Oryzias latipes: one gene and its partner. The protein of the gene in region 1 interacts with the protein of each later gene in a biochemical or structural test. Links are inferred from orthologs where the notes say so. Each region holds a gene or a part of one and is shown in the gene's direction. Other genes may lie near its edges.

The links.
Region 2: the proteins of nucleolar and coiled-body phosphoprotein 1 (region 1) and kbtbd8 form a complex in vitro, tested with the Homo sapiens proteins (2 studies listed by BioGRID). The link is inferred for Oryzias latipes from reciprocal best matches to the Homo sapiens genes NOLC1 and KBTBD8.

What each region holds. Positions count from the first base shown.
Region 1 is NC_019873.2:26,609,827-26,614,248, reverse strand, and holds the start of nucleolar and coiled-body phosphoprotein 1, read left to right. Parts: upstream 1-1,479; 5' UTR 1,480-1,516; coding exon 1,517-1,627; intron 1,628-1,838; coding exon 1,839-1,894; intron 1,895-3,448; coding exon 3,449-3,597; intron 3,598-3,665; coding exon 3,666-3,772; intron 3,773-3,852; coding exon 3,853-3,967; intron 3,968-4,053; coding exon 4,054-4,269; intron 4,270-4,422. Other genes in the region: mrps6 (28S ribosomal protein S6, mitochondrial), read right to left, coding at 593-931. UniProt on the Homo sapiens protein: Nucleolar protein that acts as a regulator of RNA polymerase I by connecting RNA polymerase I with enzymes responsible for ribosomal processing and modification.
Region 2 is NC_019863.2:16,109,652-16,114,040, reverse strand, and holds the start of kbtbd8 (kelch repeat and BTB domain-containing protein 8), read left to right. Parts: upstream 1-1,328; 5' UTR 1,329-1,424; coding exon 1,425-1,440; intron 1,441-3,656; coding exon 3,657-3,864; intron 3,865-4,031; coding exon 4,032-4,338; intron 4,339-4,389. UniProt on the Homo sapiens protein: Substrate-specific adapter of a BCR (BTB-CUL3-RBX1) E3 ubiquitin ligase complex that acts as a regulator of neural crest specification.

The sequences.
Region 1 (4,422 bases):
ACTTCATCTTGATTTTATTGATTTTATGTCAAATGTGTCTTTCAATTCTTGAAGTTCTTTTCACAAGCCCCTATAATGATACTTCCCCTTCTTGGATTGGAAGAGTATTAAGAAAGTTATGCCACTTTGAAGACTCTCGGCACAGTAATGGAGCTGTTTTTTATGTTAATTCAGGAATACAACATGTGATAACTTTCTTCATTTCTGTCCTACATCCCTTGCGCTATATTGTGGGGTCCAGATGACCCCACTCCCAACATTAACGTGCCTCCAAGGGACGTTAACGTTGGGAGTTGGGTCATCTAGACCCACTAGACAGTGCGCTGAACCTTTTTTTATTCAATGATTTTTGATCTTCACTGGTGTCCATGGATTACATGAAATCTTCTCCACCTTTATCATGGTAGGGAGAACACGTCAATGTAAGGGTGGGGTCATCTGGACCCCACAAGCACAAGGGCTAAGAATCTTCTTTATATCACTGGAAAGGTTCCTCGAAGCTTTTTCCACTAATCTGTATAGTAGATCTAAGTTTCTAAAGGTTTGGAGCTTACAGGAAGTCCGGAAGAACCCCTCAGCCCGTCCAGTGCAGCTACTGCGGGGCCCCGCAGCAGGTGGTGGTGCTGGTGGACACCTGCTCATCCTTCTTCAGCACAGTGGGCCTCACCACGTCCACGTCACGGTGCAGGTGATCCAACAACCCATTGAGGATGCTGGGAGCTGCGTAAAAGTCGACTAGAAAGTAGGAGCCTCGGGAGTGCCTCTGGTTGTGTTTGGTCATCTTGTAGGGCAGGAGTCTTTCTCCCAGGTTCTCCAGGTCTCTCACCACGGCGCCGCGCTCCATCAGAGTCTCCACGGTTCGCCGCAGAGCCGCCGCCGTCTCAGGCCGCTGCATCGCTTTCAGGATCAGGGCGAGCTCGTAGCGAGGCATCGCTTCTGCAGGGTAATCCGCCTGGCTCGAATTTTAGTCCAGCTAAATCAGAAATAATGTAATCCCCATAGAATTCTGGTCACAGACCACCATGTTATGACATGAGGGACAGCAGACAAGGTCGTATGGAAATGACGTCAATATTGTGCGCCACCTCGTACGCAATTTTAAATAAAATAAAACAATGTTAGACTGGATTAATTTAGCCTTTTAAAATGATATAATTCTTTTCATTTAAATATAATAGTAAATTTAAAAAAAACTGACATTTCAAATAAAAAAGTCTAGTTTAAAAATACTTTATATACAGAGCTCCCACTCAGTCCCGGCTTTTAGGAATCTACATTTTTCTATTTTCCCCGAATGGTTAGTTGTATAAATATATATGACTCCTTATAAATTGTTTTTAGAAAATAAAATTGAAAAATATCAGCAACGATCAAATATTATCAAAACATTAGACTTTTTCTCGGTTTTGATAATTCAAGTCGAAGTTGATCATCTCTTTTTCAAGACTCGCGTCTTCGCGAAGCGCATGCGCAATTGGAAGTAGGATTCTTTTTTTCCAGAAGGAGCGTGGTGAAGATGGCGGCGCAGGGCTCAGTGCCCAGTGATCTTTATAAATGCGTTTATTCTTTTCTTTTGGAGAATAAGTTCACCAAAGCGGCGCAGCAGTTCCTGAAACAGACTAAAGTCGTAAGTAGCTCAGGTGTCTGCCTGTTGGTGCTGTCTACTTCTTGGTACTTACTGAGACTGCGCAGTGCCGGTAAAGAGAAAAAATAGCACGTGTTGAGTCGCCAGCACTCACATGTTCGCGATTCTGCGCGTTTTTCATGGCAACAACCGACAGTAGTAACGCTTGAATTGTGTTTTTCAGTCAATCTTTTTCTACTTTTCTCCTTTACAGAACCCTCTGGACAAAAATGAGGAGAGTCTAGAAAATATTTACAACTTCTGGGTCAAGTAAGTTTTGGAATGATATGCCGGACACTTAACCAATAATAATAATTTAAGGTTTAATCATAGCAAACCTTTTCTGAAATATTAAATTATTAAAGGTAATGGAATTTATACATATGACAAGAAAATGCAAACATTTTACAGTAAATTGACTGTAATTGCCTCACTTGTACTAAGAAATTGAGGAGGAAAACATTTTTTTTGGCCTTCAGTGTTTTTTTTTAAGGTCCCCCCCCCCCTGTTCTCTGATTCAAATGTGTCCCAGCAGGTTTTCATCAGTCTAGTTGTACTGACAGTCTTTTCATGGTTTTCCAGCTCATAAGTTCTCTAAATACAACCAGAACCCTTAAAATAAAACATCCCCCCCCAAAAAGTTGATCAGCGATTAATTAGCTGTAATTAAAAATCCATTCATTATTGCTTCATATTTTAATTGAAAGTCTAACTTTGAGGCATGTTGAATGTTGTTTTCTTGCAGCCGGTCGGAGCAAAACGTAAAATAACAGACTCCTGTTGAACTTAACAGCAACCACAAAAGAAGAAAATTTAAAAAAGGGAACAAAACCTCCCAAAAAAACAGGACTAGGGGTTCTGGGATAACATATTACTATGACCAAAGGTGGAAATAGTTTTACTTTTCATGAATTTAGGTGAGGTGAAATGTAGGCAAATCATCTTATGACTCATATTGTTTACAAAAAAAATAACAATTTTCCTACAAATAGAATATTTTCCAAGTATTAATAAAACGTAAAAAAGGAAGTCAAGTAATGTTTCACCTGAAATTACATTAATTAATTAAAGCCTAAAAGCTTCAGCTGTTTTTCTAATTGTGTTGGGCAACAGTAAAAAATCCTCCCAAAGGCGTAAATATGCATTCATAAAACAAACGATGTATTGTTTTTATATTTATATCTAAAAAAACATAGTTGTTTTCATTCTTGCCTCAGCTTTTCAGTGCCGCTTTATGTCAGATTCAAAGACCAAAAAAAAAACAATAGACAAACATGAATACATGAACTATTAAGTGGAAAGCAAGGATGTGTAATAAAAACGTCAAGAGTTTATGAAAAATATAAGAATAAAGCCTTATTATTAGCACAGCGGCGTACTTAACCCAGTCTGTGTGGGATTGTCCAATCAGCTGTGGGGCAGAGCTCCTTGCTGCCTGCGCTGTAATTGAACAAGAAATATGCAAAATACAGAGAAAGCGAACGTCAATAAGGAACGAAAAACCGCAGAAACTCTCCAAAATGATGTCCGTCTGCCTAAAGCAGTTTCTGCCTGCAGAATCGGAACCAAAACCGCGTTATTGGGCTGAAAACCACCCGATCTGGCAACGCTGTCAGCTGGAGGCTTCTCCTTATTCTGCTGTTCCACTGTCACCTCCTGTTTACTGAAAGTGCTTCCATGTCATCCATCTGTCACTTTATTCAAACGTAGCAGAGATGAGGAAGGAACGATGCACGAATGCGTTTATGGCAGTCGTATATAACGAGGCAAAGCTTGGTTAGTGCTTCATAAATCAACTGAATTGACCGTAATTGCCCTGTAAAGGTCACCTGACGCCAAAAAACGGAAACTGCCTCCGACTGAGCCAAACGGTCCGGCTGCCAAGAAGGCAAAAAGCGCAGCAGAAAGCTCCAGCAGTGAAGAGTCGAGCAGCGACGATGAAGATGAAGCACAGCGGAGCAAAACGGCTGCAGGTACTGCAAGAAGAAGCTGAAGCTTTCCCGCCCGTCTCAGGTTTCTTCATGTTTAGTTTTCATTTCAGCCGTCAAAGCTGTGCCGGCTAAAGCTGTGCCGGGCAAAGCTACCAAAGCTGCATCAAGCAGCAGTGAAGACTCCAGTGACTCTGAGGAGGAAAAGGCTCCTGCAAAGGTCAGAGGAACTCACTCATTCAACCTTCCAGCTAGATTTTCACACATTTCGTTCATGTTTGGGTTTTGTAATTCACACAGGCGCCTTTGAAAGCAGCACCTGTGGCTGCAGCTGCAGGCCGGAAGAAGGACAGCAGCTCCAGCAGCGAAGACTCCGACTCTGAAGACGAAGCGCCAGCCAAAGCTCCAGCGCCAAGTTAGTCCCCAACGCTGTGATTGACGTGCTTATCATAAGTCAGGAGGAGTATTTATTCATAAACCTGGTTCGTGTCCAAACGACAGAAGCAGGTCCGGGTGCTGTGACCAAACCCAAAGCTGCCCAGAAGAAGCAGGAGAGCAGCAGCGAAGACTCCTCTGACTCTGAAGAGGAGCCGCCGCCGAAACCCAAGACTGCGGCAAAACCAGCCCCCCCGAAGAAGGCCGCGGCCGCCGCTGAATCCAGCAGCGAGGACTCTTCCTCAGAGGACGAAGCTCCTCCCACTAGAAAGCCTAAAGCAGGTGTGTTATGCTGAGGTTTTGCTGTTTTCACCTCTTCTTCCTAAACTGTTGGGAGTCTTCCGGATTGGAGGGAAGCTGATGACCTCCAACAGTCCGTCCTGTTTGTTTGGACCCCCTCCCCTGCAGGTTCTGACCAAACGCAAGGCTCGGGGC
Region 2 (4,389 bases), on another chromosome or scaffold:
CATTAATAACGAATACAGAAGATTTCATCTCTACAGAGTCAGTGACTGTGGTCCTAACAGACTAGTTTGTTAGGGAAGCATTATAATTCTCTCGAAAAGCAGCATTGTGCCATGTTTTAGGATGTCACTTTTATCAAAACATATGACTTGATCAAACACACCACAAATGAAGATGTTGGACAACAAAGATCACAGTACTCCTGCGTTGTATCAACTGTTAGGCATGGTGGTGGAGTGCAGTCAGAGCACATGTGGGGGTTTTTAGCATTAAGGAATAGAAACAACAAACCCATTTGTTCTCTACAGTCACATGTGAGCCCCCAACAAACACACAAAAGTGGACATTGCCCTTCGGCAAAGTAGCTATCAATGATAGTACAGCAAAAACCCCAGGGAACAGCGTGACACAATGCTCCATTAGAAATACAAAATGTATGAACAACACGCAGGACTTTGATGCTCTATAAAATAAAGAAAAGTTCTTTGGATAGCCTCTACAAATTTCCTGACCATGATTTGAGACAAATCTGTTCATGTAATCACAGGAAATAATTTTAACCAAAGTGTTTCTTGGAAAAAAAACCTCAACCACATAACTGCCATTTTAGACCCTTCTGGATTCATTTGTCTCCCAAAGTTTTATAAAGCAAGTTATATGCTTTTTATTTGTAGTTTTTTCAATGTATTTTAGAATCACAAAAGAGAACCCAAAAGAATGTAATGAAATAAGAAAAGTAATGTAAATTTAGGTTTTCTCTTTAATAATAGCCTGTTTCATTTTATAGAATGTTGTTTTTTTTGCTAAAGACAATATTTTGGTAATGATTTTAAAAGAGCAAAACATTTTACTGAATAAAAAATGTTTTCCTTAATCTATTGAGACTCTAGTGAAAATTCACTTTAGATAGATTTAGACTTTCTTATTTTACTCGTAAGAGAACAAAAAACAGATTAGATTTATTAAAGACAATCCAACTCATAATAATAATAAATTAGTATATTGTGGCGACCTGGGGGTTAGCCCTTCAGCCCCTAAGACTCATCGTTACAATATATTTGTGAATTTACTTAAATTATTGTTAGAAATTAAACAAAGAAATAAAGCCTAAAGTCAAATAATGTAAAATCTGCATTTAGCACAGTACTGACACTAAAGGGTTTCCTTTAAGCCTTTTGCTTCTGCAGACCACCCTAAAATCTAATTCCACTTGTTAGGGAATTCCTGCTTTAACTGACTAAGCAGGTTGATTCATTAATTGTGTTGCTGGAAGAATTTACTATTTTTTCTTAGTCTCATCAGAGAATCGAATTGTGATTGGCTTCGAGTGTCATCTCTTAGACGCTGATTGGTTGCTTCTTGTTTCCGGGGCTCCTGTGTGTTCACCCTGACGTTTCTCGGTCTGCCCCGAAACAGACTGGAGAGAATGGCTGCCAGTGGAGGTTAGCAAAGTCTTCATTGTTTTGTGTTTTAACGACTAACAAATAATGCCTTTGAAATTTGCCAGTTGCGTTTTGGGGATGTATTGAAACGGAAGATAACAGATTAGCCGAACATGAAGGCGTGTTTTGCTGTAGTTAGAAGAAGTCTCAGTCGGATCAGCCACTCAAAACTATCGGTTCTCGCCAGACTTGCTAGGTTGCTAATGCTAACTCTCCTGCTAACTTTCGGCAGGTTAGCTCGCTGCTCTCAGCTGATTGTGTAAACACTTGTTTGTGACAAGAGACAGAGAATAGACAAGTTCAATAGAAGATACAGTACAATAAACTATTTCAAAATAAGTTGTGTTGCATGTTTCTATATATCTATAAGTTACTACTTTACATGTAATTACCCCTTTAGCTCGCTATGTTCTAAGTAATGCTTGCTAATATTAGCTTGCAACATACATAGCTGTCTGCTAAAAGTTAAGCTCGCCAGTCTTTTATCTACTAGTATAGCAGCCAATCTCAATCGTTTAAATATGTACATAAACTTAGATTATACATAATAAAATCCTTGTAAAGTCACGCGGATGGTCAAATGTAGTTTTTGCCGGCAGTCGGTCAGCAACCGCAAGAAGCTTCGGTCGGTGAATTTAGCAAGCTAGCTACCACCTGGTGAGACAGTCTTCTATTCATCCACTAAGAGTCTTTGTCCTGTCAAGGAAAAAGGCGTTTCTCAACACGACGAGGTTTTTGTTGAAAATAACAGTGTCCTATTAACGATCGTGAAAACAGAGCCAAAAAAACCGCACTGTAATAATCCAAATGTTGTGATGACAAACATACAAATTCTCTCAACACACGCAGTGTTTGCCCTGCTAACTTTGCAGTTGTTTTTTTGGGGGGCAGGGGCAGAAAAATACGTAAGCAGTCGTGAAACCAGACTGACAATCTAATAATTTAAAGTCACAAGGTAACGTCATCACAACAGTCATTTATATCACAGAAGTAATACAAATTTTACGTTATTTAATTTTTCTGAGGCAAAACAACCAGTAATGAGAATCAACAGCATTAAAAAGTTATTGTACTTAGAGCACAGAGGTTCTTGCTTTTTTTTCAGTAAATCTGTAAAAAAAACATAAACACAAGACTTGATGAGGACAGTTATAATTTCAACAGTTAAGATTAAAGAGGGCAAAGATTTAACATGCCATCCTTTTGTTTTCTTTTTCTAAAAAAACAATTGTTTTATGCTGATTAACCTATACAAGTTGATTTTATTTTGGCTGATGTTATTTGCAGATATTTACGTGCCACCACCAGCACAAAAAGTGATTAAAATTCATCTTAAGATGCACATTGCTGCATTGTCCACATGTATTTTAAGTGCGTCCAAGGTTGCATTTTGTTGTTGGCCACACGTATTTAAAGTTAGACTTGAAGTTAAAGTCCTATCATCTGTCACACACCAAGGTGTGTGAAATGTGTTCTCCGCATTTGGTTTATCCCCTGGAGGAGCGGTGAGATGCAGAAACAGACGCGCTCAGAAACTATTTGGTGGTTTAACCCAACGCTAATCCTAACCTTAACCCTTTCTCTAGGTCCGTGCGGCCAAGAAACAAGTACAGGGCTGGCCGCACATATTTCGAAAAATTACGTGTGAATAGACACTTTTATTTTTGCCATAATGTATTTTAAAAAAAAGATGATGTTAATGATTTTATTTTAAATTGGAGCATTTGCACCCTGAAACACAAATTTCAGCCTCATGTGTTCTGTGACAGCAGATCCAATCGTAAGCCCTACCTTACCCTGCACAGTCTAAATCAAAACAGGCTAACTGTGTGAAGATCAATCGGTGTTTGCGTTTCCCTGTTGATCCATTGTTACTTCACACGGTCACTTTTAAGAACTTGTGCTGTGATCTGTGTTTTAGAAGGAGCTCTTGAAGACATTCAGGATGGACCCTTTGTTTGTACCTCTGTGCAACATAGATGACCTAGCTCTAACCTGTGTGTATGGGGTTTTGCTTCCCTGCAGGTCTTACTAGAAAGCAATATCTCGCATCAAAATCATAGTCAACAAAAAATAAAATCACATTATGGGTGATCGCACAATAAGGGACTGTGGGACCACAAGTTGTTTTGTGAAATTTTTTAGAAAGTGTATTTATGGTGGAAACTACATCACAAAGCATGTGACATTGCTTTTTTAACCTCTTTCATTTGCAGAGGTAGGGAAGCTGTTACAAGTACAAAATGGGACACCTCCTACCACCAACTTCAACGGGGTAGATGCTGTGCACGCCTGCAACATTCTTCAGCAGCTCAAAGCCTTGTATGATGAAGCACAGCTCACAGATATTGTTGTGGAAGTGGACCATGGCAAGACTTTCTCGTGCCACCGGAATGTTCTTGCTGCAATCAGCCCATATTTTAGGTAAAACCATGTCAAATAAAAGCAACAGAAGTTTTCTTTTACAAAGTAGTTGACAAAATAATTATTCCCAACATGCATTTTTCTGTCTTTCTTTTTGAAAATTCATAGATAAAGGGTAGCAATGGCATTGTAACCTCAACTTTTATTTTATTCTCTCCCATTTTTAGGTCCATGTTCACCAGTGGCCTTACAGAGAGCAGTCGGCGTGAAGTCAGAATTGTTGGGGTGGAATCGGAATCCATGCACCTTGTTCTAGACTATGCCTACACATCCAGAGTCACGCTCTCTGAGTCCAACGTCCAAGCCCTGTTCACTGCAGCCAGCATTTTCCAGATCCCCGCTTTGCAGGATCAATGTGCCCAGTTCATGGTCAGCCGGCTCGACCCTCAGAACTGCATAGGAGTCTTCATGTTTGCCGATGCGTACGGGCATCAGGAACTGAGGGAACGCTCGCAAGATTACATTCGCAAAAAGGTCAGTTGGGCATGAACAGTGCTTTGAATTTGTAACCGTGTGTTTGGACTG